4 linked regions of the Diceros bicornis minor genome follow. The protein of the gene in region 4 interacts with the protein of the main gene of each other region in a biochemical or structural test. Links are inferred from orthologs where the notes say so. Each region holds a gene or a part of one and is shown on either strand. Other genes may lie near its edges. The genes, in order: MECP2, IRF4, IRF1 and SPI1.

Evidence for each region.
Region 1: the proteins of SPI1 (region 4) and MECP2 form a complex in vitro, tested with the Homo sapiens proteins (2 studies listed by BioGRID). The link is inferred for Diceros bicornis minor from reciprocal best matches to the Homo sapiens genes SPI1 and MECP2.
Region 2: the proteins of SPI1 (region 4) and IRF4 are reported together in a solved structure, tested with the Homo sapiens proteins (2 studies listed by BioGRID, with this or other methods). The link is inferred for Diceros bicornis minor from reciprocal best matches to the Homo sapiens genes SPI1 and IRF4.
Region 3: the proteins of SPI1 (region 4) and IRF1 form a complex in vitro, tested with the Homo sapiens proteins (2 studies listed by BioGRID). The link is inferred for Diceros bicornis minor from reciprocal best matches to the Homo sapiens genes SPI1 and IRF1.

What each region holds. Positions count from the first base shown.
Region 1 is NC_080781.1:138,164,816-138,171,732, forward strand, and holds the start of MECP2 (methyl-CpG-binding protein 2), read right to left. Parts: upstream 3,023-6,917; 5' UTR 2,958-3,022; coding exon 2,896-2,957; intron 1-2,895. UniProt on the Homo sapiens protein: Chromosomal protein that binds to methylated DNA. It can bind specifically to a single methyl-CpG pair. It is not influenced by sequences flanking the methyl-CpGs.
Region 2 is NC_080753.1:65,928,841-65,935,705, forward strand, and holds the start of IRF4 (interferon regulatory factor 4), read right to left. Parts: upstream 3,023-6,865; 5' UTR 2,982-3,022; intron 1,619-2,981; 5' UTR 1,558-1,618; coding exon 1,339-1,557; intron 1-1,338. UniProt on the Homo sapiens protein: Transcriptional activator. Binds to the interferon-stimulated response element (ISRE) of the MHC class I promoter. Binds the immunoglobulin lambda light chain enhancer, together with PU.1.
Region 3 is NC_080740.1:51,801,808-51,809,220, reverse strand, and holds the start of IRF1 (interferon regulatory factor 1), read left to right. Parts: upstream 1-4,396; 5' UTR 4,397-4,826; intron 4,827-5,043; exon of another isoform or gene 5,044-5,146; intron 5,147-5,205; exon of another isoform or gene 5,206-5,220; intron 5,221-5,232; exon of another isoform or gene 5,233-5,312; intron 5,313-5,849; 5' UTR 5,850-5,854; coding exon 5,855-5,941; intron 5,942-7,241; coding exon 7,242-7,341; intron 7,342-7,413. UniProt on the Homo sapiens protein: Transcriptional regulator which displays a remarkable functional diversity in the regulation of cellular responses.
Region 4 is NC_080770.1:23,047,910-23,054,918, reverse strand, and holds the start of SPI1 (transcription factor PU.1), read right to left. Parts: upstream 3,010-7,009; 5' UTR 2,873-3,009; coding exon 2,762-2,872; intron 149-2,761; coding exon 49-148; intron 1-48. UniProt on the Homo sapiens protein: Pioneer transcription factor, which controls hematopoietic cell fate by decompacting stem cell heterochromatin and allowing other transcription factors to enter otherwise inaccessible genomic sites.

The sequences.
Region 1 (6,917 bases), on a different chromosome or scaffold from region 4:
AACAAGCAGGTGTCCTGCCACACTCCCTGGAACTTGTTGCCAGTCTAGGACTATGTTTTTACCCCATGTGCTTAAAACACTAGTTACTACAAATGTCAAACATTTTCTACAATTCTCTCCTCATAGATAACTCAGGCAGCCTGGCGACAAACTGCTCCTAGCTAATTAAAAGATTTCCACTGATATTCACCTTTCTAAAAGATTATGGGTTCCAAGACACATCATTTATCATGCAAACAGTCCCAGGCATTAGTGGTGGAAACTATTTCACCTCTGCTCTTCTTTATTTTGGGTTCAAGAAGTGAGCTTCTCATTCCATTTCCACATAGGGGAAGGAGTATTCCAGTGGGGGCAACATCATATTGGACTCATCTAGCCAGTTTTTCTGTCAAACTCCACAGCTTGCCTCCTCACCCCACTAGATTCGGCCACTCACAGGCAGGGCAGGCGGGGAAACAATGACTCTGGCTGGAAATTGCAAATAGAATGCAAAATTGTATTCTAACCCTCCCAATACACAAACAGCACAAAAGTCAGAGAAAGGTTTGACTGCGTCATGCTTTATCAGGTGAAACAAAGACCTGGTACTCTAGGTTTAAAGCATTCCAGGCAAATTTGTAACAACAAGAAAAAGACAGGGTGACAGGCCAGTACCAGCAAGAAAGTGTAGAAGGTTTCTTCGAGCTATTAGGACACACACTCTACATGCCACCAGGCACCTTGCAGAGAACTATATTCTGGAAGCTGTGCTGTTTAAAGGGCTAAGGGTACGACCAACAGCTAAATGGAGGGGCACCCGAGGAGGCAAACGCATTGCCAATGAAGCATAACAAAGCAGAGCCCTCGTCCTGTCATGTCTCAGGTTGAGAGGTACAAACCTTGGAACCTTCGTCAAGCGAGGCTTGTGTGTCTTGTGTGTGGACAAGAATGAACCTCACCGATCTGCCACCTAGCTGACATGCCACGATAGGGTGATCTGTGGCGACTTATTTAATCAACTGTATGTCTACCAGATTGATTGTGCCCTTTAAGGTTCTGACATGTCCGGATAAGAAAATAAAAGTGTTTCATAGGCTTCCTGACTGAGATTTGAAGTAGAAGTCCTAAAAAGCCCATAAATAAGCCTATTTCCCTATATCTCTGATAGAGATTTCCAAAAGACCTAAAAAATCCAGACCCTGGTTTTTTGTTTTTTGGGCTTTTTTTGGTAAGGATCCAGCATACTTCAAAAGACCCAAGAGGTCAGCTTAATCTCGTTGTTAACTGAAATCACTGAGATCCAGATAAAAATTCCAGCCATGAAACCCAAATTTATCCTCTAGAGTAATAATTGCCTATTAACAGTGAGTTTTACTACCAAGGCCCAAATATGCTTCATATTTCTAGTATAACAAAATACCTAAAACTTGTGAGAGACCTACAAATTCTAAGCCACTTAGCATCACACGCTGGTAGGTTTGGTTCCACGATCACAACCACCCCCTGAATTCCATCCTACCATCTATTTGGGGTACTGATCCTGCACAGGAGAGGCACAACATGTGAATGGTTCTGCAGAGCCCATTCCTGTTCCTGGAAAAATAACCAGAAGCACACATCTGCCTGACCATGAGTCAGGAATATCAATTTTGTGGTGGAGCCCATTTCTGCTGTAACCAATCCACACCAAGCGACCGCCACAGAGGTATTCCAGAGCAAGCTTTTCCCCCCTCGGGTCCACACTTAGCAATGTCATAAACGGTCGGTCGGTCTCCTCTGTGAGAGCAATCTTTTTAGACTCTTCACAATGACCTTAAGTCTTCAGTGCAAAACCACACAAACACTGGCACGCCACATAAAAGTCACCTGAGTTTCAGTTTGGGTGATTCAGTCATAACCAAACTAAAAAGAAAACAAACTTTCAGGGACAATTGACAGGAACCACAGCGATGCGATGAACTTGCCTCATCTGGTACTGGTGATCTTGAGCAGGGCGCGCTCCAGGTCTATGGGAGCCCGTTACATACTATGTCCCACTCCACTTATGTAACTGGAAGATCGCTGGTGAAGGGGGGGAGGATGGGAAGGCGCTCATATTCTGAGGCCACAGCACCCCCAAAGACCCTGGGGGCATGCTCCCACCGAAGAGCCTCAGGTGCTGCCGGACACACATTGCCCTACCCACGGCTCCTAAAGGGAACTATAACCGCCTCTTTATGACGAGTTGTGGGACCAGGAACACACTGTCTAGTCCCTTTTGTGGGTGGACGATAATTGCCACCTACTTGTTCTTGCTAGATGGGAAAAGAGATGGTGGACCGACTCGCTCGCAGTGGGGGCAGAAAGTCATGGAATAGGCGAGAAGGAGGGGGAGGCAAAGCCTGGAGATGGGGGTGAGAGCACAGGAGCCCTTGTGGCGCACTCTCCCGAAGGGAGGCGGACTGCGCACGCGCGCCGGTGGGGGGGCCGAGTAACGGGAGAGGGGGCGCGCGAGGGAGGGAGAGGGGAGAGCGCGATCCAGGGAGAGGCCGGGGCCGCGGGCGCGCGACGGCGCCGCGGGCCCGAAGCCCCGCGAAGGGCACGACGCGCGCGCAGCCCCGACAGGCGAAGCCCGGGCAACAGGGGCGCCTGCCGGGCAAGGGGCCGGGATGCGCGCCGAAGGCGGGCGGAAGGAAGGGGGCCGCCAGGCGACGGCGGCCTTGGGAGGCCGCGCCGACGACGGTCACCCGCAAGTGCGGGTGACGGGCCGAGGGGGGAGCCGTCACCGGCGGCGGCGGGAGGGGGAGGGTAGAGAGGAGGGACGCCATCCGCAAGCCTTGTCGCCCGACCCCGCGGGCCCCTCCCGCGCCACGTCCCGCCCCTACCCCCCGCCCCCCGGCAAGGGTCCCCACCCGCGGCCGCGGCGGTCCCACTCACAGTCTCTCCTCCTCGCCTCCTCCTCCTCCTCCGCTCGGCGCGGCAGCGGCGGCGGCGGCCATTTTCCGGACGGCTTTTACCACAGCCCTCTCTCCGAGAGGAGGGAGCGCGCGCGCCGCCGATGCCGGGATCCCGCACGGCCGACGTCGCGCCCCGCCCTCCCAGCCGGCCTGCGCGCTGCTGCACCTGCGTGCCCGCGTCCCGCCCCCGGCGCCGCCGCGAGCCCGCTCGCCATTGGGTGCGGCGGCTGGGGCAGGGCGGGGTCTCGGCGGTGACGCCGCCAATTGGCGGGAGTTGGTGTCCATTCCGGCCAGGGAAAAGGGGGCGGACTCCCTGTCCAGCTGCCGATTGGCTGTCGTCAGCCGTCATTTGGGGGAAAAGAGGTGGCTTGGGCGCGGAGGGGCTGGTTTAGTGGGCGGAATTTGAATATTAAGGATTAATGGGCCCTTGCGGATGCTGGGGCGAGTAAAGGCCTAGGCTTCGGACGCCTGATTGCGCGGCCCTCCCGGGCCATTGACCCGCGCTGTCCACAAACGCCCAAAATACGCGGCAGTAAGCGGTTCACTGCACCTGCATTTTCTCAATGTCATCATCTTCAGTAGAAGCAGCAAAGTTGCCTGCCCCGGAGCCTGACGTTGTTCCAGCCGAGGGACCTTGGTTTAAGAGGCTTACCCATTGCATTCTTTCATCTGAGCCTGCCTTGTGCCACACTCTCATAGGGACAGGGAATAAACTGACAACAAATCACAGCCCTGGCCTTCGTGAACCTCTGGTGGGGGAAGACGGTGCATGCCAAGGCTGCACGAGTCCTGTCGTTGGTGGATCAGATGGTTTGGTGGAGGCGTGGAAAAGGGGCAGTGGGAGCACAGAGGAATCGCACTTAGCTCTGCCTCGAGGGAAAAGGGAAGACTTCCTAGAAGAGATGATTTGGGAGCTAAGATCCAGCAGTTCCGTTTTGGAAAAATATTTAAGAGTATGAGAAAAGTTTTAGCCAACGGGGTGATCAGGACAGGACTATTTGTCAAAGCCACCTGACTCTGATCCAGCCATCATCCAATTCATCTAATGCTCCTTGTGCTGCTTCTGTGCTTAACAAGGAACCTTCTGATTCTGATTTGGCTCCCCCAACCCATTCATTTATTAAATACCTCCTATGTGCCAGGCACTATTCCAGGCTCTGGATACTCAGTACTGAACAAGACAGTGAACTAAGATTCTTGTGGGGAAGATTCATACTAAACATACAAATAAGCATATAATATAATGTCATATAGTAATAAGGGCTTTGAGATAGATAAAGCTAGGGTGAAGGGGTTGCTATTTAGATATCCATAGACTTTTGCCCTCGTTTTATTTCCCCATATGGATCTCTGGGGAGAGAACATCCCTGGCAAGTTCAAAGGCCCTGAGGAGATACTATGCCTGGCATGTTGGGGACTAACAAGGGCTAGAGAGTGATAGGGTTTGCAGTTGGAGAGGCATCTGGAGCCACCATGGGAACTGGGAGCTTATTCTGAGATGAGATGCCCTTGGAGGATTTTAAAGTGGGAGCTGACATCATCAGATCTATATTGTAGGTGCAGTGTGGAGAGCTATCCATGGTGGGAGAAAACTAGGAGCAAGAGCCCAGTCAGGAGGCCCTGGCGACAGTCTTGGAGAGGTGATAGTGGCTTTAACTAGGGTGGTAGCAGTGGAGGTTCTGAGAAGTTGTGAGATTCAAGCAATGTTTTCAAAATCGATGCAGCTGGCCTGGTGGTGTAGTGGTTAAGTTTGCACGCTCTGCTTTGGTGGCCCGGGGTTTGCACGTTCGGATCCCAGGAGCAGACCTGTGCACCGCTTGTCAGGCCATGCTGTGGCAAGCGTCCCACATAAAATAGAGGAGGATGGGTATGGATGTTAGCTCAGGGCCAACCTCCCTCAGCAAAAAGAGGAGGATTGGCAACAGATGTTAGCTCAGGGCTAATCTTCCTCACCAAAAAAAAAAAAAAACACAAGCAGAGAGGATTGGATGTAGGGTATAGAGAAAGAGAAGAAACAAGGATGATTCCTGAGTTTTTGGCCTGAGAAACTGAGTGAAAGGGTGCCTTTCACCATGATGGGGGAAACTGTAGGAAAAGCACATTTTTGGAGGTAGAGATCAAGAATTCTGTTTTGGCTATGTTAAGCCTGGGGTGCCCATTAAATGTGCAAGTGGAGATGTTGAGTAGGCAATTGGGTCAACAAGCAGTCAACAGGCTGAACATCCAACTCAAGAAGCTATAAAAGGAACAACAGTGTAAACCTGAAGAAACTAGAAGGAAGAAAAATTAAAATGAGCATAAATTGATGAAACAGAAACAAATGATAGAGAGGACTGAGAACATCAAGAGCTGATTCTTTGAAAAGCTGAAAAGCCAACCCACTACCAAGCTAGATATAAGGAGATAAGAGACAAGCAAATTGCACTAGAAATGAAAAGGAGATGTAACCACAGATACAATAGATTATACACTAGATAATAGATAAAACAGATAAATTTTTAAAAGGTTATTATGAAGAACTGTATGTCAGTATATTGGAAAACATAAGCAAAATGAATAAATGTGCTTCCCAGACAAGCACAGCTTACCAAAACTGATTCTAGAAACAGAAAACCTGGACAGGCTCTCTATAACCACAAAGAAATTGACTATATATTTTAAAATCTACCCTCCCCCTCCCAAAAAAGTTCAGAGAGCTTTACAGATGAGTTCTGCCAAATCTTTAATGAGTGGGTAATTCCAGTGATAAACAGAAAAGAAAGAAATCTCTCCAAACTTATTTTATGAGACTAATGTAACTACTATAAGGAGCCAATGAAAGTATGACAGAAGACATAGAAATAGATGTAAAAATTCTAGACAAATAAACTGAATCCAGCAGTATGTAATGATATATCATAACCATGTTGAGTTTTCTCCTAAGAATGCAAAGATGGTTTAAAATTAGAAAATCAGGGGCCAGCCACCTGGCCTAGTGGTTAAGTTTGGCACGCTCTGCTTCAGCAGCCTGAGTTCAGTTCCCAGGGCAGACCTACACCATTCGTTGGTGGCCATGCTGTGGTAGCGACGCACATACAAAACAGAGGAAGATTGACACAGATGTTAGCTCAGGGGGAATCTTCCTCACCAAAAAAATAAAATAAAAAATTAGAAAATCAACCTTAACAGATTTAGGGAGAACAAATATATGATTATTTCATTAGATGCAGGAAAAGCATTTGATAAAATTCAACACCTACTTATAATCAACAACAACAACATCTTCGGGAACTATGAATAGAAGGGGCCTTCCTTAGTCCGATCAAAGGTAATATCTGTAAAACCCTTAGAGCAAACATCATACTTAATGGTGTTAAGTAGGAACAAAGCAAGAAACAGCACAAGAGCTAAGGTGCAACATCATCCGTGGGACATAACACCCAAGTGTCCTCTCCTCCCATTCTCTTTGACACCTCATCCTTGGAGTTTCACCATGAGGAGAGAGACCCATTAATCTCAAGTCTATTCCCTGGTTGTTAGGACACAGGCATATAGACCCAGCCAGTAATAAAAAGCTGGAAAAAGTAATGGGAAAAAATAAAGATTCAACTCAGTCTAGCTATAGAAATTCTAAAACAGCTGGGAATAAACTTAATAAGAAATGCCGAAATCCCTACATTAAAAAACAATAAAAATTTACTGGAAATCATAAAAGAAGACCTGAAAAAAAAATAGAAACTACCATGTTCCTGGAAAGGAAGAGTAGACATCATAAAGATGTCATCTCCTCATAAATTAATCTGGAAATTCTTTGCACTAGTCAAAATCCAGGAGTTTTTATAGACTGCAACAAGTTACTTTTGATCAGGAAGAGTAAGTGTACAAGACTAGAAGTCAAGACATTTTCAAAAGAGAAAACCAATGAAGAGAGTCTTGCTAAATTCCTTAGCTTGAATAAACGAGAGTTATTTTTTTTTGAGGAAGATCAGCCCTGAGCTAACATCTGCCAATCTTCCTCTTTTT
Region 2 (6,865 bases), on a different chromosome or scaffold from region 4:
TTAAAAAAGAATCTAGGAATTGCATTTCTAAAGGAAAGAATGGTGCTTAGGTGCTTCAGATTTACACTGTTGCTCAAAATGTGAGACAAAGAGACCCCAGGTGTCCTCCAGGTAAAATACTTTCCACCCTGGACCCTATCATCGCTGAGCTGAAGGCAAGTGGTTTGAACATTCCCTCGGTATTTGTAAAAGACAGGTGAGATGTGGAGGACCGCTGGAAAGGCTACCCACCCAGTGTCTGAAGCAAGTTTGATTGGAACTAGGGACAGAGCTGTGGCTGAGCTGCTACTTGTAGAGCACATGTGGACAGTCAGACCATCTGAGGTCTCGTGAGGGCAAAGTCCCTGAGGAAGTCCCCGTCCCTGCTCTGCCCACAGGTGGTGGGGCTGGGCCCTGATGCACAGTTCAGTGGGTGCACTGCTCTAGGGAGAACCGTCATGAGAGGGACACACACACCGAGGGCAGGAGAGAAAGGTCCAGAGAGAGGACAGCGAGTAAGAAGAGAAAGAGAGAGAAATCCAAAGGGGGTGGGGAGGAGAGAGGGGAAGAGAGAGAGTGACAGAAAGAAAGAGAGAAACACACAGTAAGATGGAAAGACCCAGAAGGAAAGAGAGAGAGAGAGAGAAACTCAGAGAAAATTTTCCAGAAAGACTTGGAAAGAGGGAGTCAGACAGAGGGAGACAGAAAGAGGAGAAGCAGATGGAAGGACTCAGCTAGAAGGAGAGAGCACGTGCCAGAGATAGAGACAACCAAAGGAAAAATATCCAGAGAGAGAGAACAGGAGAGAAAAAACAGAAACAAATACAGACTAATGAGAGAGACAGAAAAACAGACACAGACTCGAGCACACTCCGGGTGCTCCCAGAAAGAGACAGACACACACACTGATCAAAGAGGCAAGGAGGGATCCAGAGGGACAGAAAAAGGCTCCGATGAGAACAGTAATGCACTATAACACCCAAGCCAGCGTCCTTGGACGCCGCTACCCGGGGTTAGCCTCCAGGCATTTCCCTGCCGCTGGAGCCGCCCGACTCCCTGGGTACTGCTCACATCACACACTCAGGATTGGGACCCGGTCCCCCCATTTGTGAAATCACTAGAGTAGTTGACACCTCTCTCCTTCTCCCGTGGCTTGGGCCGATCGCCACCTGATGCTCGCGGGCCCCTCGCCCTAAGGGGCACACACCGTCCCGCGCACCCCGTGTGGTCCCCTTCCCTCTGAGAACCGCCGGGCGCGCCGGCGCGGGCCGGCCTCGCCGCGGGGTGGGGGTTAGGGACCGTCCGGGCTCTCCGGGGCCCTCTCCCATCCCGACCGTGGGCTCCCCGCGGGCTTGTAACCTTGAAGAGGGCGGCGTCCTCCTCACGGTTGTAGTCCTGTTTGCCCGCGTGCTTCCAGGGGATGCGGAAGATGCTCTTCTCCTCGTTCTCCCACACCAGCCCTGGGTACTTGCCGCTGTCGATCTGGTCGATCAGCCACTGGCGGAGTTTCCCGTTGCCGCAGCTCACGGAGCTCATGCCGAACTCTCCGCCTCGGCCGCCGCCGCCCTCCAGGTTCATGCCCAGCGCGCCGACTGTCGCCCTCACGCGCTCAGGATCCGCCTCCGGCACTCGCTCTGAGCTGCAGGGGAGAGGAGGGCCGCCTTTCAGCCACTGCGGCACAGCGCTCGGGGCACCCTGTCCCAACCCCCTCTGGTAATGACCACGAGGTGCCGGAGTCTCCGAGGCAGCGAGGCGCGCGCGCTAAGAAGTCGGTGTTGCCAAAGGCCCTTAGGAGAAAGCACCTTCTCACTTGGCCCGGGCTCGTGCCCTTGGCGCGCACAGTCCTGACGCCTCCCGAGCGCGCCCTCCGTGGAGTCCATCCTTCTACCCCACCTTCTGAACTTTCCATTCTTGTTACGCACCCCACAGCCCAAGTGCTGCCCGGACACACAACTCTCGCCTTTGCGCACGCTCCCAAATCCAGCCGCCACCACTCTTGGCACTCCGTTTGCACGCTCACTCGTAGTTCCCGCTCCTCTTAGCCCAGTCCCAAGCCGACGCCAGTCCATTTCCCCCTTCACTGTCAGTTTCCACTCTCGCCCACTCCCCAATTCACACTCCCCTGATGGCCCCCGTGCGCCAAGGATCTCGCACGCGGGTTCGCCTGCGGTCGGGGCGTTCCAGGTGCGCGGCACTCAGCAACTCCTCCTCCGGCCTTCTAGAACCTCCCGCACCCGCACTCTTTGTTCCAAGAATATCCCTGAGCCCTCGCCAGATAGCAAGGATTAAGTGGGCCTTGGAAGCAACAAGCGATAGACACCTGGTCTTTGGTGAGGAGCGCTGCCAAGTAGCGGGAGATTCCGGGACGCCGAGCGTCAGCCGGACCCAGAGGCCCGCGAGGAAGAGCGGAGGCAGGGAGGGTGCCGGGGAGAGCGAGGGACCGCAGGGCGCAGCGCCCCGAGGAGCCCATATTTGGAGCTCCTTCTCCTCCTCCACCACTACTCGGGGGGCAACGCGCCGGAGGCCGCGGTGAGTTTGGGCCCCTTAAGAACGAGGAGCAAGAGAAGGAGCCTCGGATTGGAGCCTCGGGAGTAAGGGACTGTCCCCCGCGGGAAAGCCCGCCACCCCGTGTGGGTCCCTTCGACTGCCCCGCTTCGGCCACTCCTGGGGCTCTGACAGTCTCGTTATCCCGTCCCGCGCGTGGCCTCCCCCGGCCCGGGCTGGGCCGACTGCAGAGTGGTGGGGCCGCGGGAGCAGGGAGAGACGGCGGGAGTGCTCGGGCAGCGACCTGGGCGACCCTCCACCGAGCCCGCACAAAGGCCCCGGACCCAGAGCAGATAGGGGGAGTCGGGGATCCCTCAAGGGGCGTGCTCCCTCCCGGCTCCGAAGCTGGGGTCCCCTGCGCTGCCCTGGAGATGGACCCCGGGACCTCTGGTCTCGCGCCCCCGGTTCTCTGTCGTGCCACCCTCACATCTATGCTGCTGCCCGACCCCAGACCTTACCTCGCCCCGACTCGGAGCTGAGGGCAGCGGTGGGTCCTAAGTTCAAGCGGTGAAACTAAGATTCAGAGGTGGGAAAGAGGAACTTTATAGAGCTTAAAAGCCGCGCTGGGGGCGGAGCCTGCGGCGGGCGGGGCCGGTTGCGCCCGCGGGGCTGGGGGGCGGTGCGCCGCGAGAGGAGAACGAGGGCTCGGCGGGCGACTCCCAGGGCCCGGGCCAGAGGAACGGGGTCCGGGGGGGTTGCCGCCGCAGGCTGGGGGCTCCGGCGCCCTCGGCGACCCGCCTCGCGCCGCGCAGAGCGAACGCACCTCGAGTGGGGCTCGCGCGGCCTCGGGGACCCTCACTCTGGGCGGTTTCCTGCGAAGGACAAGGCGCGAAATGGGGACCTCGCCTCCGCGCCAGGACCTGCGGGAGGCCCGTCGACAACTAGTAACAGCTAAAGACAGCGACACGGTTAGGGCGGGAAGTGGGGGGCGTGTAGGAGCGGGAATCCGGTGCGAAGGGGACTTCGCTTGTGGAGCACGTAACCAAAGACGGAGGAATTGTCCACATCGAGGAACTGTGGGTGGGTGGGTCACACCCAGCGAGGGGTGACCCTCGCTGTCACCGAGAACCCTGCTCCTCCACGGTCTTTAGAGAACATCGTGCTCATTAAAAAGAAAAAAGGAAATGGCCCAGATCCCTTGAGCCATAAACTGTGGTTCAAATACTGTCCACATGTTCGAAATGCTTACACGCTCTTGCATCTATTAAACTGGTGAATTGAGGTGACTCAGATAGACAATGCATGACCCCCAAAGTTTCAATTATGGCAACATGAAAGAGTTGGGGGAGGGATCCCGAAGTATCCCAGCGCTTAATTGCTTCTGCACTTCAGTTCACTTTAACTGACATGGTTTTAACCTCAACCTGGTAGGAAGCAATCTGGGGTATAAATGTCCGCAACAGGAGTAACATCCAAACGGACCTGCAATTTTACTTAATTTTCTAGGATGCCCTTATTATCCAAACTAGCTCCCTGACCACTGCGCTTTCGCCGGAGCGTCTTGGATGCTCCGAGCATGTTTACGTACTTAGCGATTGCAGGTAAACCGTCAGATCAGCGGTTTCTATATGATTTTAGACCATCGCCACCGCAGGTCAACTTGCAACTTTTGAAAAGCTTTTGATTTCACTTATTTCTCAGTTTTTCTTTTAATCTTATATATTGGGTCAATGTCTCCTACCCAAAGAAAAAAATAGGGTTAGGCTGGAGCAAAACAGGCCGTGAGTGAGGCACAGACTAGAAATGCTTTTCCTACAACTAACGGACTTTCTCAGAAATTCACAGGATGCCATATTTTTATTCACCCAAGTAAGTTTTCCATTATCAGAGTCTGTGTAATAAACAACAGGGTTTTGTTCAAAGAAAATTCTGGTTACACCCTGTTTTTCTTCTCCTTTCACAGATTCATTCATTCCACAAACATTTTTTGCGCACCTGCTGCTTGTCTGGAATGGTTGTAGGCACTGGGATACTCAGTGAAGGAAGCAGAGATCATGCCTCCATGTTGCATTACATTTTAATCAGTGAATTACTTTTCCCCAAGGTGTTCACAAACAACAGACAGAAGGAGATTGCTAAAAACAAAAATGGCAAATGAGAGCTTTTAGCACTTTCGCACACGTGTTCTCTGCACCAGCTTTAGTTAGTTTCAACATTTTCCTCAGTCATCTCCTTTTAGAAGTTCAAAACAACACCGGCTGTATGAAACTTTCTGAGACTTTACAACATCTACCTTGTTTTAAAATGTGATTGCTAATCTTCAACGCCATCTTCTGGTTTATTCATTGTCATATTGATCTACTGGAAGTGATTTTTTTTTTTTATGATGAGGTGAATACAAAGAATAATATATTTTAATCACTAAAACTCTTGATGTCCTCATCACTCCTGGGGAAGGGGAGGGAGTGAGCAGGTAGGGGCTGCCAGTTGCTCACCAAAGACATCTTAGTCACAGTCGAAAGAAAAAGGACAAAAGTTTTTAAAGTTGACCTTCCCCCCACACACTTGAGAAATCAAAGTGTTCCTCAGTAAAAGATAGATAGTTATCTTCAAATGTCACAACTTGTTAAAAAGTGCAAACAAATAGGAAATCAGTAAATTGAATATCTACCTAAGACAAAGGCTGATCATGATATTCTGCAAGGAGGTTATTTCAGTGAATGGTCCAGATGTGGAAATGCCATTGTAGGTGGAGCCCAATCTGAACAGAGTGCTGCAATTTCCAATTCACATTTATTGTAAAGAGACTATAAGAAAAGCTGAATTTACCTAAATTCAATATTTTAAAAATCAGTCTTTTAAAATTTTACATTCACATGTAAGAAAATATTTTAGAAAAACCCATACTAGGCACAAAAAATAAATTACTGAAACCCTGTTTTGGATAAAAGTATTTTCTCACTAATTCATTCTTTGAAAGGGGAGAGTACTACAATTTGTTAAAAACAATGCAACTATATCCGTGAAAAAGGTTAAAGGGCAATCATTTTTAACTACCTGTAAAAAATCAGGAAAATACTAAAAATGTTATGATGTAGTTCATATGGGATAACTATCTCCTCTAATGCTCTTTGGCTATATGTGTGTGCAATGCTAATTATTATCATTGACCATGGTATCTTGTATGGCAGTACTATTATACTATTATTGTATTATTATATTATTTTATAAATAGTAATATATCTACGTAATAGAGTAATATACAATATACTATACTAGAGTAATATAGTAATATACTATAGTATGTACTATACTATACAATGTACTATAGTACTATATAATATTAGTACTATATATATTATATTATATATATTATATATATAATAAGTACTATAGTACATTGTATGGTATAGTACTAGTACAGTGATATATACTACATATTAGTAGTATCTTATAGTATTGTATTTAGTAGTATTATTGGATGGTATTATTGGTAATTAAATGCTCAAATACGACAGTCAGCTAGACCTGGTTGAAATCCGTGAGGTCTTGGGTGAACTATTTAACCAAAGTCTTACCTTCCCAGGTACAATGAAGGCAATGGCTTTCTTGCCTCCTCGTATGCTGTGATAACGAAATGATGCTTAGCACAATGCCTCACATGTTCCAAGTGTTCAACACATCGGGACTATTATCATTTATGTTTTGCTTCAACATTTAGGAAGACTATATCTCATTTGATCTCCCAACCCCATCTGCCTGGAGGCAGGGCAGGTGATATTCAGCCCCATTGTACAGATAAGGAAAGAGATTCAGAGATTCACTGAGGTCCGGATGGCTTGCCAAGGACACCTTCTGACGAACTGTTCTTTTTCCTTTCTACGGGTATTTGGCTGCCTGCTGCACTGATATTTCAGGATCAGCCTGCGAGTGCAGGCCTGTGGGTCTGGAGGTGGCGTCCTGACTCCAGTCTGGCACTCAGTGGGTAAGTCAGTGTGGGTAAGGTGCAGTCTTCTGACCTCGTTCTCCTGTCTGTGAAGTGGAGGTTGGCAGTAGGCAACCACTGAACCTTCTTCCAACCCTAAATCATTGTTTTCTTCTTTCTGCTCTAACTTAAACTATTATTGGCAGCCAGTGGCCTTGTTGGTTATGGTAAATTCAGAGTAAGAAAAGCGGCATTTTTTTAAAGCCACTGACCTAACCACTGATCTTCTCTTTGCTCTTCTTCTCAAAGCAATATTCACTTTGAGGAAATTGGAGGAAACAGTGCTGATTCTCAGCCAGTTTAATCCTCTGAAAAAATCTAACCTTCTATGCTACTAATACAGGGGAGGTTTTGGGATGGAATACTCTGGAAATGAGTATCGTTTATTATGAGTAAATGCTCTCACTGCACACCCAG
Region 3 (7,413 bases), on a different chromosome or scaffold from region 4:
AATTCCTCGGCCCACTCTTACAATGCAGGACCCCCTAGTGCTTTCCCAGCCAGCGGCAGCCTCCCACTCTGCGTTTAGGGCTTTTATAACACCACGACGTTTATTCTGCTGTGTCATACAGCATTTTTGCCAGAGCTGTGAGAGGGGAGGGGCTCGTCTCGTGCCCCAGCATATCCCCAGGGCCAAACCTGGAGTTGACCCAGAGCAGGAGTGCGATTCATATTTGTTGAATGAATTAAGAAACGCCTTTCTTTCTCTCCAACTAGGCTCCTTTCAGGCAGGGTGATTAAGCCTGGATTCTGTCTTCAAGCTTTTGAGTGCTTTCGGATGATTTTATGCCTGACTGGTGCTCTGTACTTCACAGTTTAGGACTGCCTGCCTCCCAGGTTTGCTGTGAAAATAGAGATGATGGCTGGGAGGGACTTGGAGCATCTAAGAGAGCCTTCCCTCTGGACCTGGGAGGCTGGATCGCCTGCTGGGGGTTCATCTGCTTTGGAGACTGTGGCCTCTTCTCTGGGTAGCAAGCCCCTGCAGGGGCCCAAGGATGCCCTACTCTCAAAAACCTAGTTAAAGCCTTGCTGGGTCCTGCACTTCAGGACTAACTGGAGCCCACGTAGCGGGTGCAGTGTGTTCTGAGAGCCTAGGGAGGGGGCTGGGGACAAGATTTGGTCCATCAGGGAAGAGGCTCCCACACGGGTGATCTTGCCCCCAGCATCCTGATTGCAGAAATCACCTCAAAGGAGGCTCTGCCAGCCAGTCAGCCTCCTGCCAGGCACCACAGGGCCCCATACCGAGAAACTGCACAATATATTTACCCTCATTGAGTGACAGTATAGATGGGAGGCATCCTGTGAGTGAGACCTTGCTCCAGAGCTAACCCCCAGCTAACTCCAGCTGCAGGTGTGAGGAACCTGCTCAGGTCTCTTGCAGAAAAATTCAGCCTTTGTTCCCCAGAAGGGGGAACATACAAACTGTGTTCAGAGAATGGAAATGCAGTGAAAGGTTCATGCATACTGTTAATACATGTCATTTGACTAATGTTTTACAGTTTAGAAAGGAGTTTGAGGGGCTGGCCCAGTGGTGTAGCCCTTAAGTGTGTGCACTTCGCTTCGACGGCCTGGGGTTCACCAGTTCGGATCGACGGCCTGGGGTTCACCAGTTCGGATCCCGGGCGCGCACCGATGCACTGCTTGTCAAGCCATGCTGTGGTGGCATCCCATATAAAGAGGAGGAAGATGGGCACAGATGTTAGCCCAGGACCAATCTTCCTCAGCAAAAAAAGAGGAGGATTGGCATTGGATGTTAGCTCAGGGCTAATCTTCGTCACAAAAAAAAAAAGAAAGGAGTTTGATAGTCTGTCTGATTTCATCTTCACAACAATTAGGAGAGATGCGCAGAGAGTATCTCTATTTTACAGATGAGAAAACTGAGGCCCAGAGAGGGAGAGTAACTTGCCTAAGGTCACACAGCAAGTAGCAAAAGTACAAAAACCCAGCTTTCAGACTCAAATCCTGTGTTCTCTTTCCAACGCCCTTTAGTTACTGCCAAGGGTAGCAGAGCCTTGGAAGAGAAGTTTGGAATGGGACCCCTAGGACCAGAGCGAGCAATGATTTGAATGTGGGGCTAAGGAGTCTTGGGGAACTCAGAATGCTCCTGGGTGGACCTGAATAGTAGGGAGATCATCAAAGTTAGGGAGATCATCCTAGTGCAGAGGTGCCAGGAGGGGCAGGCTTGATGGGGAGGGAGGCCCAAGAGGAGGCTGTGGCCACAACAATCTGGTCCTGGAACGTGAAGACATGATTTGATGTGAGGAAGGAAGACCCAGAGGATCAGGTGAGGCCAAGAGGGGAGGAAAATGGGAAAGACTTCACCAGGGAGGGAGCTGGAATTAGGAAGAGAGAAAGCTGCTGGGGACAGTGTGGAAAGGGGTGGAAAGACTTCTGCTTGTGTGTGTGTGAATTTGTGGAGAGGGTTGTAGAGGAGTGTCCAGAAGGCAGCTGGAGCTGCGGTTTGGAAGTCACCTGCCCAGAGGGGATGGCTGGAATTACAGACGATGAGTATTTTGAGGCAGAGAGGGGAAAGGGCCCACCGTGAATTACTAAGAAATACCTAGGGAAGATTCTATGTGTTCTGCTTAGTGTCACAGGGAATGTGTGCTACATCTTAGAATGGGATTCATTAAGAGCAGTTACAATAAAAATTTGAGGTGCTTAAATAGGGTTTAGCTTTATTTCGCTGATTTGGCATATAGCACCCCCAATCATGATAAGTGGATTTTTATAGACTTCAAGATAAAATAAGAATCCCTAAAATTAAAAGTAAAAAAAAAAAAAAAAGTCAAAGAACACTTCAAAGATGTAAATGACAATTTCATTGGTAAATCCTAACATTGGGGAATTTTTCCTAAGCAAAAAATTATTGATGTGCACAAAGATTTAGCTACAGAGTGTTGTATTATGAAAAGATGGAAATAACCTAAATGTCCTACAATAGGGGATTAATTGGGTAAATTTTTACTTATCCTTATGATAGAATAATACGTACCCATTACAAATGATATTGCAGAAGTACCTTTCATGACATGGAAAGATGCTCATTATATATACAGATGCACATATAGATGATTATCTGTGAATTAACGTTTTTGTTTTAAAGCACTTTTTACAGTCTCCTCTTGCCTTCATAGGGTCATTTTGGTTAATTTCTCAGACCACATGAGCTGCAAACTTCCTCTCCCTAATCTCATTCTGAATTTTCCATGGCCGTGTCAGATTCTTAGAGACAGGACAAGCATCCATTTGCTGCACAGAGAACAGACTTCACAATTCTGAAGCCACTTGTTTTCTGCTCTTCTTGCTCAGATGGTCTTGGTCTTTGTAGTGGGTTCCCACTCCTATCTGTCACTTAAAGCACTCCACCCCTTCTCCCCCTTCCAGGGCCTCAGCACCTTCCCTTCTCCTTGACACCCAGCTAGGCTCATTCCTCACAGTTCCTCCTGCCTCTGCCCTCTCCCAGCTCCTGCACCCACCACTGTCTGGAGACAGCTCTGACCCATTCCTGTTGGTCTCCTGAGAACCAAGCTTGGCGTTATTCACAGCATCAGATTCTGGGGCACCAGAATTGGATTAACCCATCCATCTCCTCTGTGGGAGGGAGGCAGTAGAGTGACTGACAGGTGGAATGCTGCATCAATGTGTCTATTTATAGACTGCATCATTGCAACTGGGTGCTGCTGTGGAAGGAGAGCTGGGGTTTGGGGAGTGACACAACCAGCCCTGCCTGGAAGAGTGATTTACTTCTGAGTCAGCACCTTTGAGGAGTTGAAGGAAGGAGCCTGCTGGGCCACAGTTATGCATGGAAATGAACACAGCACAGCCTCTAGAAGTACAAGTGGAGCAAGGTCTAGTAAGCACACAAGTTAAGTAGCTGCCCTTCCCAAGTGGCCTGGGGCCTGGGCTCCCCAACCTTTTGGCTAGACCCATGGCCTTGGCCAGCCATAAGCAATGCCCTCATGCTGCCAAGAACCTCTCTGGGCCAAGCCTTGAGGACCCAGAAACAACACCAAGGCTGCCACTGAGGAGCTCCCAGGCAAAGGACATGTGAGGATGTGGAGGTGGCCTAAGGCAGGAGTGCTAGGAGGGACCAAGGCTACCCCACCCCAGCTCAGCAGTCCTTGATTCTCTGAAACAATTCTCCTCTCTTTCCCTAAGGCCAGACGTGGGGCAGTCCCAGGGATGTAGACGGTAAAGGGGGAGAGGTGTCTCCCTGGTCATTATTGTACTCCCAGCAGGGACCTTGCAAACCATGCAGCATCTGCTGCCCAAAAAGCATGGAGCTTTAGAGACATCATCTCTCTCTGTCACTGTAGACCAGCAAGGTAGGGCTATCACTATTTCGTAGTTGAGGAAACTGAGGTCCAGAGGCTGTGCCAGCAGCAGCCAGCCTGGGATTTCCTCTCGTCCGGCAGCCCCAAGCAGCACGCCAGGCAGAGTAGGCTTTCCTTTACTTTCCCAGGGCAGGCGAGTGATCTGGAGGTGTGTCACCCCTCAAAAAGGGGGCAGTGTGAGGGTCGAAATCCTCCCTTCTTGACACCCCATTAACAGGCCTGAGGAACCAGGTTACTTTTCAGGGGTTCCATCTTGGTGTTCACTCTGAAGAGGGCGGCAGGTGCCCGACTGACCCCCTCACCTGCGCTCTGGAGATTGATGTCCCCACCTCCGGAGAGGAGAGTGAAGAGACAGCCACAGGAGCTAGCAGGCTGGGAGAACGCGGAGTGAGGGAAGTAACCGCGGGGCCGGAGGGTGTTCGGCTTTCCAGGACAGCCTTTCTCCCGGGCTAGCTGCTGTGGGGGTGGAGTGGGAGAGGGCGGGGCGGGCCCGCGGACGCCCCGGGGCGGTGGCGCCGGGCCGGAGGGGGTGGGGAGAAGCAGCCGCCCTGTACTTCCCCTTCGCCGCTAGCTCTACAACAGCCTGATTTCTCCGAAATGATGTGGCGGCGCCGGCCAATCGGCGTCCTCGCGGCTCTTTAGAGGCGGGGCCGAGCATGGGTTGGGGGAATCCCGCTAAGTGTTTAGATTTCTCGCCGGCGCCGCTGCCCCGGCAGAGCGCGCCACTCCTTCGTCGAGGCAGGACGTGCGTCCGAGTCGCGCGGAGCAGAGGCCAGCAGGAGCCGTGCCAAGCCCAGGCCAGCCGTGCCCAGCAGCCCCGCGACCCGGGCATCCTCTGCCTTCGCTCCCACCCGGAATCGCGCTCCCCGCGCCGGCATAGCAGCTCCCGCTGCGCCAGGACCGGATCGCGCGCCGCCACCGGATCGCGCCCGCTGCAGAGGTGAGCCGCCTTCGCCGCGGAGGGACCGGTGGCGTCGAACAAAAGGGCGCTGGGCACCAGAAAGTGGGGGCCGAAAACCCCAGGCAGGAGAGTCGCGGGCGCGCGGCGTTGTCTGGGTCCCCGAGCGGTCTCGGGAGGGCGCTGGAGGAGCGGCGAGCGGCAGCGCGGGGAGGGCGGACCGCGGCGTGGACCGCCCACCCGGCAGAGGTTGCAGGCGTGCGGTCGCTTTCTCAGATCTGTATGCGCGAAGCTGCCGGGGGCCTCTAGGTGGCCCGGAGTGTTCGTTGCGCGCATCCACAAGCCGTGCCGGGAACTCCAGTGTACGTCCGCGCGTGGGCGCTCTGTGTTCCCGAAGGCGGCTTTCGGCGGTCCCAGCTCCGCGCCGAGGCCCCAGGTTTCAGGCTATCTATGCAAGCGGCGGGGGCTGGGGCTTGCTGCCCTGGGTGGCTGGAGGACCTGCTGGAGCTGCGGGAGGAGGCGCCACAGGTGTTTCTTGGGCCACTTCGCCGAGGAGGGGAGCCAGGCAGGAAGGGTTTGCGTCCCGGCCTCTGTACTGTGGCTGTCAGGGAGGCGTAGAATAGATGGGGGTCGGGGGAGGATGCCCAGGGTGCAGGGTGACTGCTTGCCCTTCGGGAAAGGTGCACAGCCAGTGGCAACAACTCAAGTAGGGACATTTCTTGGCATCAAGCAAAAGAATCCCCTCCCTTCCCAAAGGATTTGAATTTGGGGAGAAAAGTTCTGGTATTAAGATTCCTGTGTATTTTGCCTCTTTTTCCTGCACATAAATCCTGAAACTATCACTTGCAAGCCTGTCTCCTCCCAAGGCTCTCTAGGAGGGGGTGAGGGAAGGGGCAGAAGTTGGAGGGCAGATTTATTTCAGTGAAAGCCCCTTTCCTCACGATTGTAGTACCTGGGACCTGGCTGAAGGTGGGGAAGGTAACTGAATGACCTGGGGTGGGGCAGGGTAGTGCCTATGGCTGCTCAATAGATTCCAAACAGGAGCCTTCTGTCTTCTCTTTACAGCCAACATGCCCATCACTCGGATGCGCATGAGACCCTGGCTAGAGATGCAGATTAATTCCAACCAAATCCCCGGGCTGATCTGGATTAATAAAGTGAGTGTAACTCTTTGGGTTTGTCTGCCGCTATTTTAACCCATGTTCTTTGGGGGACCAAAGCTTCAGATGCAGTTCGAAAAGGGAAGTAATAGGGAGCAGGCAGCTGTGTTTCCCAGTGACTCCTGCATGCAGGGGGTGTGGGAGGCCCAGCCCTGGGCCCCACTTGCCCAACTTCTGCCTTTCTCCCTCCTCAGGGTATGGACAGGGCACCCACCTGAGGGCACTGACAGTTCCCAGCAGCAGGGCTCTGCCAGCATCTGCAGAGCTGGAGTTCTGGTCTCTTCTGAGGGAGACTCCTACAAACACACATAGCATCCTACAGGGCTCCAGTCAGACTGATGGGAGACAGAGAAGTGGGCACTGCTGGCAGGAAGGTGGCTGGCTCAGCAGGGGACCCAAGAATTAACCTTGCACCATTGCCCAGGCCCAAGAAGCCTCTTGCTGGTGCACAAAGGGCAACACAGACCCTGCAGACTTAATAGTAATAATAGTATTCATAATAATAGCTAATGCTTACTGTATACTCACTAGGAGTGTGGCACCATGCTAAGTATGTTACTTACATTGTGTCATTTAATCCTCAAAATAGCCCTGTGAGGTAGATCCTATTAATATCTCCATTTTCAGATAAGGAAACTGAGGCACTGAGAAGTAGAAAATAAGATCACATAAAAAGTGATAAAGCCAAGATTTGAACCTGATCAGTCTGACTCAAAAATCCATACTGTTAATCACCAGTAACAACAGTGAGACCTTAGTCTTTATATTTGTCACTGTGTTTTGTCATTCCATAGAAGACAAGACAGGGACAAAGAGGAACAGTGACAGTGCCAGGATCACACAGGTAGTCAGCATCCAAGTCTGGCCCAGGGCTCCCTCAGGTGTAGGGCCAGGACCCCCTGTGTAGGAGCCAGTGGTCCCAGGTGTCCTAAGCAGCCCCATCTAATTGATGGAGTTCTCACTTCCATGTTGATGCTGACAAGCCAGAGAGAAGCATCCCAGGGAGCTCTGTATGGGTTCCAGCACATCTGTAACAGACAGAGTGAGGTCTTTGCTGAGCTGATGGTACCACAGCTCATCAGAACCCAGAGCCCCTTCTGAGAGATCCAGAGTGATAGAGTAGCTGGTTTAAGCCAATCTCAGGATGGGTCAACCCAAGCCAGATGTCAGGGTGAAAAGGGGAAGTCAGCCTTTTCCCACACCTGGGGGGCTGGGCAGACTCAGGCCAAAAACCTGTGGTCTCTGAGCTGACACAGCCTTGTGTGTGTGTGTGTGTGTGTGTGTGTGTGCTGTTCAGGAGGAGATGATCTTCCAGATCCCATGGAAGCACGCGGCCAAGCATGGCTGGGACATCAACAAGGACGCCTGTCTGTTCCGGAGCTGGGCCATTCACACAGGTGTGTGCCTTGGACTTCAGCCCAGGAGGGGCCAGGGAAGAGATGAGAGGAGGCACTTCTGTTAATAGAGGG
Region 4 (7,009 bases):
TGCCCGGGCCAGGCTGGGGGTGGGGGCAGGGCGGGGCCGTGGACTCACCGCTGTGGCTTTCTCCATCACTGCTGAGATACGGGTAATACTCATGCGTTTGGCGTTGGTACAGATCCGTGTCATAGGGAACCAGGTCTTCTGATGGCTGCTGAGAGAGGGGGGTGTCAGGACACAGATTGTGGCGGGGAGACCCCAGCCAGGGTCGTAGCCCCCAGTATCTTGGGTCCACACCACCGTCCCAGACTGAGCCACTGAGCAGCTGCATCCCGCCTGCAGCCGTCTCTCTGGTTGGAACTGGGAGAAGCCACACAGGGCGGGAGCAGGGGACCCAGGAGAGCAGGGGACCCAGGAGAGCAGGAGCCTTGGCTCCCGCAGAAAGGGGTCCTCAGTGACCCTGGAGGTCAGAGGTCAAGAGAGGACCAGGGCTGAGGGGGAGAGTACGGCCTCCCTCCCTTCCCTTCCCCACAGCTACCTCACACTCACACTCACACTGCATGCCCCGGTCCCCAAGTCACGTACTCACCCTCTCACGCCCACCCTGATACGCCTACAGCCCCCAAACGTACACGTACTCCCTATGACACACTTGTGCCCACACACCCACTTGTGAACTCACACCCACACGTCCACTCACACTCACTCTGAGGGTCACTCACATTCACACACGTTTGTGGCCACACACACCATTATACACTCACCCTGTAGGCACACGCAGTCACTCGGACTAACACATGTGTCCACACTCGCCTTCAAGCCCATTAACACTCACTTTCAGACCTGTACCCTTCCACAGTCACTCATATTCCACTGGCACACTCATCCGCACAGCGCACACGGTTGTCCTCCCTGCCAAAGTCTGCAAAGCCCCCACCCCAGCCCCCCGCTCTCCTCACAGCCTGTGCCCAGGCCCTAGGCAGGTTCAGGGCCACCAGGATGACCAGTGGCCAAATCCACACTGATGGGTTTGACAGCGTTCACCCAGGAAGGCTTTGGGGGCCGTGGGACAGCCGGAGCCCTGATCCTCTTACCCTCCCTCCTCCATCCTCCTCCGGATACCCTCACTGAGGTGCCCCCTTCTCTTCCTCCCTGCCCTCCTCCCCTTCACCCTCAGCCCTCACCCCTCATCCTCCTCCCCACACCCCTTCCTCCTCCCTTCCCTTCCTCACTCCTCCCCTCACTCCTCCCGGTCCTCCTCATTCCCTCCTCCTCATCCTCCTTCTTCCCTCCTCCTCCTCCCCCTCCTCCTCCTCACTCACTGACACAGACACAGGGACATGCACACCCGGAGCCTTCCCAACAGTCATCAGGCCTCTCCCCACCCCCGCAGCGTGTACTCAAGGATTGCACAACAGTTACTCTGGCCCTCAGGGCTTGGGTTGGGGGCCAGGGCTGCCTTGGGAGCCCACCCTCCCAGGAGTCACTCAGAGCAGCCCCGGGCCTGTGGAGCGGGGCTGAGGGGTTTGGTGTGGGAGCCCAAGAAGATGTGCCTCCTGCCTCACTCTCCCTGGAGTTCAGGGTGTGAGAGGTCAAGGATCAGAGACAGTGTGGCCAAGCCCCCCCGGCTCTTCCTGGGACCACCTCCATCACCCCTTGCCTGCCCCCCACCTTCTTGGTCTCAGGTCTGGGAAGGGTGGGCCAGGGCCAGGTAGGGGTTGGCTGGCTGGTCCTGTCTGTGTCTGGCCGAGTGAGGAGGCCAGGAGCCCAGCACTGGGTTTCCGGGCAGCAAGCCCAGTAGTGGGACGTCAGGCCTGGGGTGCTACCCCGGGGCTCCAAGGCCGCTGGAGGAAGGGAGCTGCCTCTAGGCCGGGAAAGCTGAGTCAGGTGGCCAGGCCCTGCCAAGCCCTTCCCGGCTCCCCTCAGGGCTCCCCACCTCTGCTGACTGGGGATGGGGTGGGGAGAAGGAGAGAGGTCCTTTCAGAGCGGGCCAGGTCTGACACCTGCCTAAGGCTGCAACTGTCACCGAGAGCAGGAGCTTGGTGGCCTTCCCTTCCTGGGGTCCCCTGAGAGCCCTGCTTCTTCGCCTCCAGCCTCAGTCCTGTCCCAGCCTCAGCCCCTGCCCTAACTCCAGTCCCACACTTGGCCAGGTCCTACCCCAGCCCCAATCTCAGCCCCAGGATGTCCCCAGCCTGGTCCCTGCCCTCCTCGCCCCAACCCTAACTGCCACCCTAGTCTCAGCGCCACTCTCTGCTCCAGCCCTGCCCCTGCCCCAGCCTCTCGGGGACCTGCGGGCTCAAGGCCCAGACCCTTCGGTCAACAACCATGTCCTCTGTGCCAGGCCCCAGACTGGGCGCTGGGGAGCCAGACTTGAAGCAACCTCAGTCTCCAGGAGCACCCAGGCCATGGGCCATGACTCTGGCCTGTTGCCTCCCGCCCTCAAGCCTTGACTGTCCTGGGGACCGGCTTCCCCCAACACCAGTCTCCCCATCTCCTCCCCGCCACCTCTCTGCCGCCGCCCTCACCATCCTCGCCCAGCACCCTGCCCTGGAGCTCGGCCTGCCACCCAAGCCCCATCTATAAATAACCGTTCAGGCCCCACCGATCACAGCCCCACCATGGGCCCAGCCCTCCGCCCGCCGGGGCATGCTCCGAGGAAGCCAATGGCCCCCTCGCTGGGTCTCAGGCCAGGGGCTCCAGGCAGGAAACACCAACTTCCCACTGATAGCGAGCCAGGAGGGCAGCCGGTGGGCTGGCGGGCTGGTGGGCAGGCTGGCGGGCGTCCGAGGGCCCCGGGCTGGGCTAGTGGAGGAGTCCCGGTACTCACAGGGGGGACGAGGGGAAACCCTTCCATTTTGCACGCCTGTAACATCCAGCCGAGCTCCGAGCCGGTCAGGTCCCCTGCCTCGGTGGGGGCCAGTGAGGAGCCCCTCGGCATGGGGCGCCCCGTCCGGGGCTGGAGGGACTCGGGGCGGGCGCAGGGCTCAGGCCTGCCCCTGAGCTACAGGAGCCCTGGGTGAGCCCCCTCCCGTGACATTGCAGGGCGAGCGCAAGTTCCTGATTTTATCGAAGGGCCTGCCACTGGGAGATAGTCCCCTTGGGGTGACATCACCGCCCCAGCCCGTTTGCATAAATCTCTTGCGCTACAGGAAGTCTCTGGCCGGCTGGGGCAGGTGGTGCTCCAGGGGCTGGCCTGGGAGGCCATGGGGGCCAGGCCCCCTGCCCAGAGGAAGCTGGGACTGTGAGGGGCGGCCTCGGGGGCTAGGCTAGAGAGGAAGAGTGGAGGGGAGGAAGGCTAGCTCTACCACCTGGAGGCCTTTGCTGCCCCAGGGCCCTGATGAGGCTCTCAAACCCCTAACCCCACACATGCCTACTTCTCTTGAGACCCCCACGTGGCCAACAGTCACTTCCTTGGGGTAAGAGTTGGTATGGGTGGCCTCGTGGGGCCTCTACTTTCTGGGGTCAGCCTGACTGGCTGAGGGCTCTGATCCCGCTGACTGCCAAGCCTGACTCTTTCTGGGCCTTGGGCACCCAATGCCTAGAGTCCACTCAAGCTGGGGCTGGGCTCAGGGGCAGGGTCCTCAGCACAGTGCCACTTGCCCCTTTCCTCTGAGCCCCTTCAACCTGGCTTCCCTTCCACCAGAGGAGAGTCCTAGGTTCTTATACCCTCCTCTCCCAGCTTCCTAAGTGACCACTGCTTCTTCCAAATCCCTAGGGGTTCTATTCCCAGCCCAGATCTCTCAGTTTCCCCACACCTTGCCAATGCCTGAATATCAATATAATCTCCTTGTTTACAAACCTGAGTTCTTGTCTGTCCATCCATTCATCTATTTTCCCATCTATTTTTTTTTATCTATTTGTCCGTCCATCTATCCACCCATCAAGCCAGCCATACATTCATTTATCTGTCTATTTATCTAACTATCCATTCATTCATCCATTTATATGTTAGTCCATTCATCTATCCACCCATCTGTCTATCTACTTGTCCATCTAGCCATCCATCTGTTATTAATCCACCAGTCTATACTTCCATCTGTTCATCCACTCTATATCCAGCTATCAATCTATTCACCCATGAATAGATTGGACCATCCATTGGTCCATGCATTCATCCACCCATCCATCTACCCACCCATCCACTCATCCACCCATCCACCCACCCACCCACCCGCCCATCCACCTATCCACCCATCCATCCATCAATGCATCCTTCCAATATTAATTGAGTTCCAAGCTCTATGCTGAATGCTGGGAAAATAGAAAAGTATTAGACAAGATCCCTGTCTTCAGAGAGCTCCTAATCTAGTCTGGAGGGCAAATGGATGAATGGAGACATTTTTTGATCCAATGATCTCTGGTGAGTTCACTCTGTGAGGGAAAAACTTCTTGAGCATTCAACTTCCTCCTCTATGTAGTCTAACCCTTTGCTTTGTACCCCTTTCCCTCTAAGACCTGCCTCCTTCCTGTCAGTGGAATCCCAGGTCCTTAAGTGTTTCTTCACTGGCAGCAAAGACCAGGGATTCACAGATCTGGGCTCACCACTAGATCTACTTCACTTCTATCTTCACTGACTTTTTGTATCTGCACTTGGAACTCTCCAAGGGGTCCAGGTCATCAGTTCTCAGGACTGCCTAGGAACCTGACCAAGGCTCCTCCCCAAGAGGAGAGGAGAGGCAGGCTGACTTGACATCAGCTCCATCCTTGCTCCCCACTTCCTCATCAAGAAGGCCAAGTCCCAGCTGACTGGATGTGTGTGGGGGTGAGTCTACTCCATGAGAACCAGGTCCTGCTTGATGTACTCATGCATTCATTCATTCATGCATGCATGCATTATTGTCTTGGTTTAGTTTGTTTATGTGCTTATTTAGCTGCTCATTCAGTCATTTAATCATTGACTTTTTATTGAGGGTCTTCCATGTGCTGGGCCTGGTAAGGGGGCACAAAGATGGATGAGGCACGCCTCGTGCCTCCAGGAGCTCACAGGCCTGCAGAGAGAACAGACATGGAATCAGACAGTATGGTTTTCTGGGGAGGTAGGGGCACAAGAGAGGGAGGTGCCGGGTGCATTGGGGAACAATTAGTTTGGTCAGGGCCACGGGAAGGAAAGCAGGCAAGGGAAAAGGCATGTCTGACTGAGGAAGCAGCTTGGGCAAGGGCAAGGAGGTGGAAAAGAACAAGGGGACAGTGAGCCGCCATCCTTGAGGCTGGAAGCAAGACAGGCCGGGAAGGTAAAGAGCCTTGAGTGTCAAGCCAAGGAGCCTGGGTTGCATCCAGAGGCGACCAGGGAGCCTTTGCTGGTTGTAGCAGGGAGTGTAGTGCTCTTCTCCATGGATGCAGGCAGCAGACCAGGTCGACTAGGTGTTCCTGAGGCCTAAGTCTCAAGAGGCCCCAGGAGAGGAGAGAGATTCCATTGTCCCAAGTCTGGCCAGGCCCAAGGGGCCTGGGTAAGGAAGCTCAAAAAAGACCCAGGGCTGCAAATCTCTGGAAATGGGCAGAATGACTCTCGCTTTTGTGTAGTACCAGCGTCCGTGTCCATTCACACACCGAGTCCTCCCCATCCTTCCTCCCACCATCCCTCCTCCCAAAGTGCACCAGAGGCCTCTTCCCGAGACCTTCGGGATAGTAGGATCCGGGTTCTAAGCAATGTTGAGCAGAGCAGGAAGAGTCCGATAACCCACAGCCCCAGGGCTAACAGCTCCTTTAAAAGAGGGAGAATTATTTTCTGAGTGCCCAGCATTGTGCTGGGTGCTTCTGCCCTTGTGATCACACATAACCAAGACAACCAGTTGTTACACTGAGCCCCAAGAGGGCAGGGACTCGCCCAGGGTCACATAGCTGTGAGTGGAGAGCTGGGGCATGAAGAGCCTTCTGGGGCTGTAGGAGGGGCTGGATCCTAGTGGGGAGGAAGGAAGCAAGAAGAAAGATTGAGGGGCTGGCCCCATGGCATAGCGGTTAAGTGCGCGTGCTCCGCTGCTGGCGGCCCGGGTTCGGATCCTCGGCGCACACCCATGTACCGCTTGTCAGGCCATGCTGTGGCGGCGTCCCATATAAAGTGGAGGAAGACCGGCACGGATGTTAGCCCAGGGCCAGTCTTCCTCAGCAAGAAGAGGAGGATTGGCACGGATGTTAGCTCAGGGCTGATCTTCCTCACAAAATAAATAAATAAACAAACAAACAAATAAGAAAGATTGAGAAGCCAAGCGTGGAGAAGCAGGAAGGGCAGAGACGGGGGGGAAAACAGCAAGGACTGGTGAGGAAGGGAAAGAGAAAAACACTAGGAGAAAGAGTCAAAGAAGGGAGTAGAGAGAAGTGGGCAAGAAAGAGAGGCCAGGACGAGGACGGCGGGAGAGGAGGACAAAGCAAGGGAGAGAGGAGACGGAACAGCCGGTGGCTGGGAGGCGATGGGACCTTAGAGGAGCACGTGCCCAGCCTCCTTCTTCCTCAGCAGAGGAAACGGGGCTCAGAGAGGGTTCCCGACCTGCTGGGGGTCGCCACGTGCCTCATGCCTGGGCTGTGGCTCTCCTGCTTGTCGCCAAGAAATTGGTTTGAAACCAAAAATCTTGGGGGCTCCAGGAAATGAGAGGCCAAAAAAAATTTTTTTTAATTATTTTATTTTTTGAATAGGTAATATATACATAAGGTACAAAATCCAGAAGGTACAAAAAGGGAAACTGCCCAGTTCCCCTTCCACAGAGTACCCCTGTTACCAGATTCTTGTGTATTTTTCTAGAAAAAAGTTTAAGCAGACACAAGCATAGAGGCAGATTAATTCTTTTTTTAATTTTACACAGAAGGCAGCATACTAAACACATTGTACTTCCCTCTGGGGAAGTTTTTCCCTAAATCCATTCCATGCCTGTGCGTATAGAGTTGTCTTAGCCTTTTTACAGACTGTATAGTATTCCACTGTTTGGATGGACTGTGATATTTTTAAATCATAAGAGATCTCATTCACACAAAAGAGTGTACAGAACATTTATGTACAGTTCAAAGAATAATTATAAAGCTAACATTTATGTAAGCACCATCCAGGTCAAGAACTAAAACATTGCCAGCACTCCAGAAGCATCTC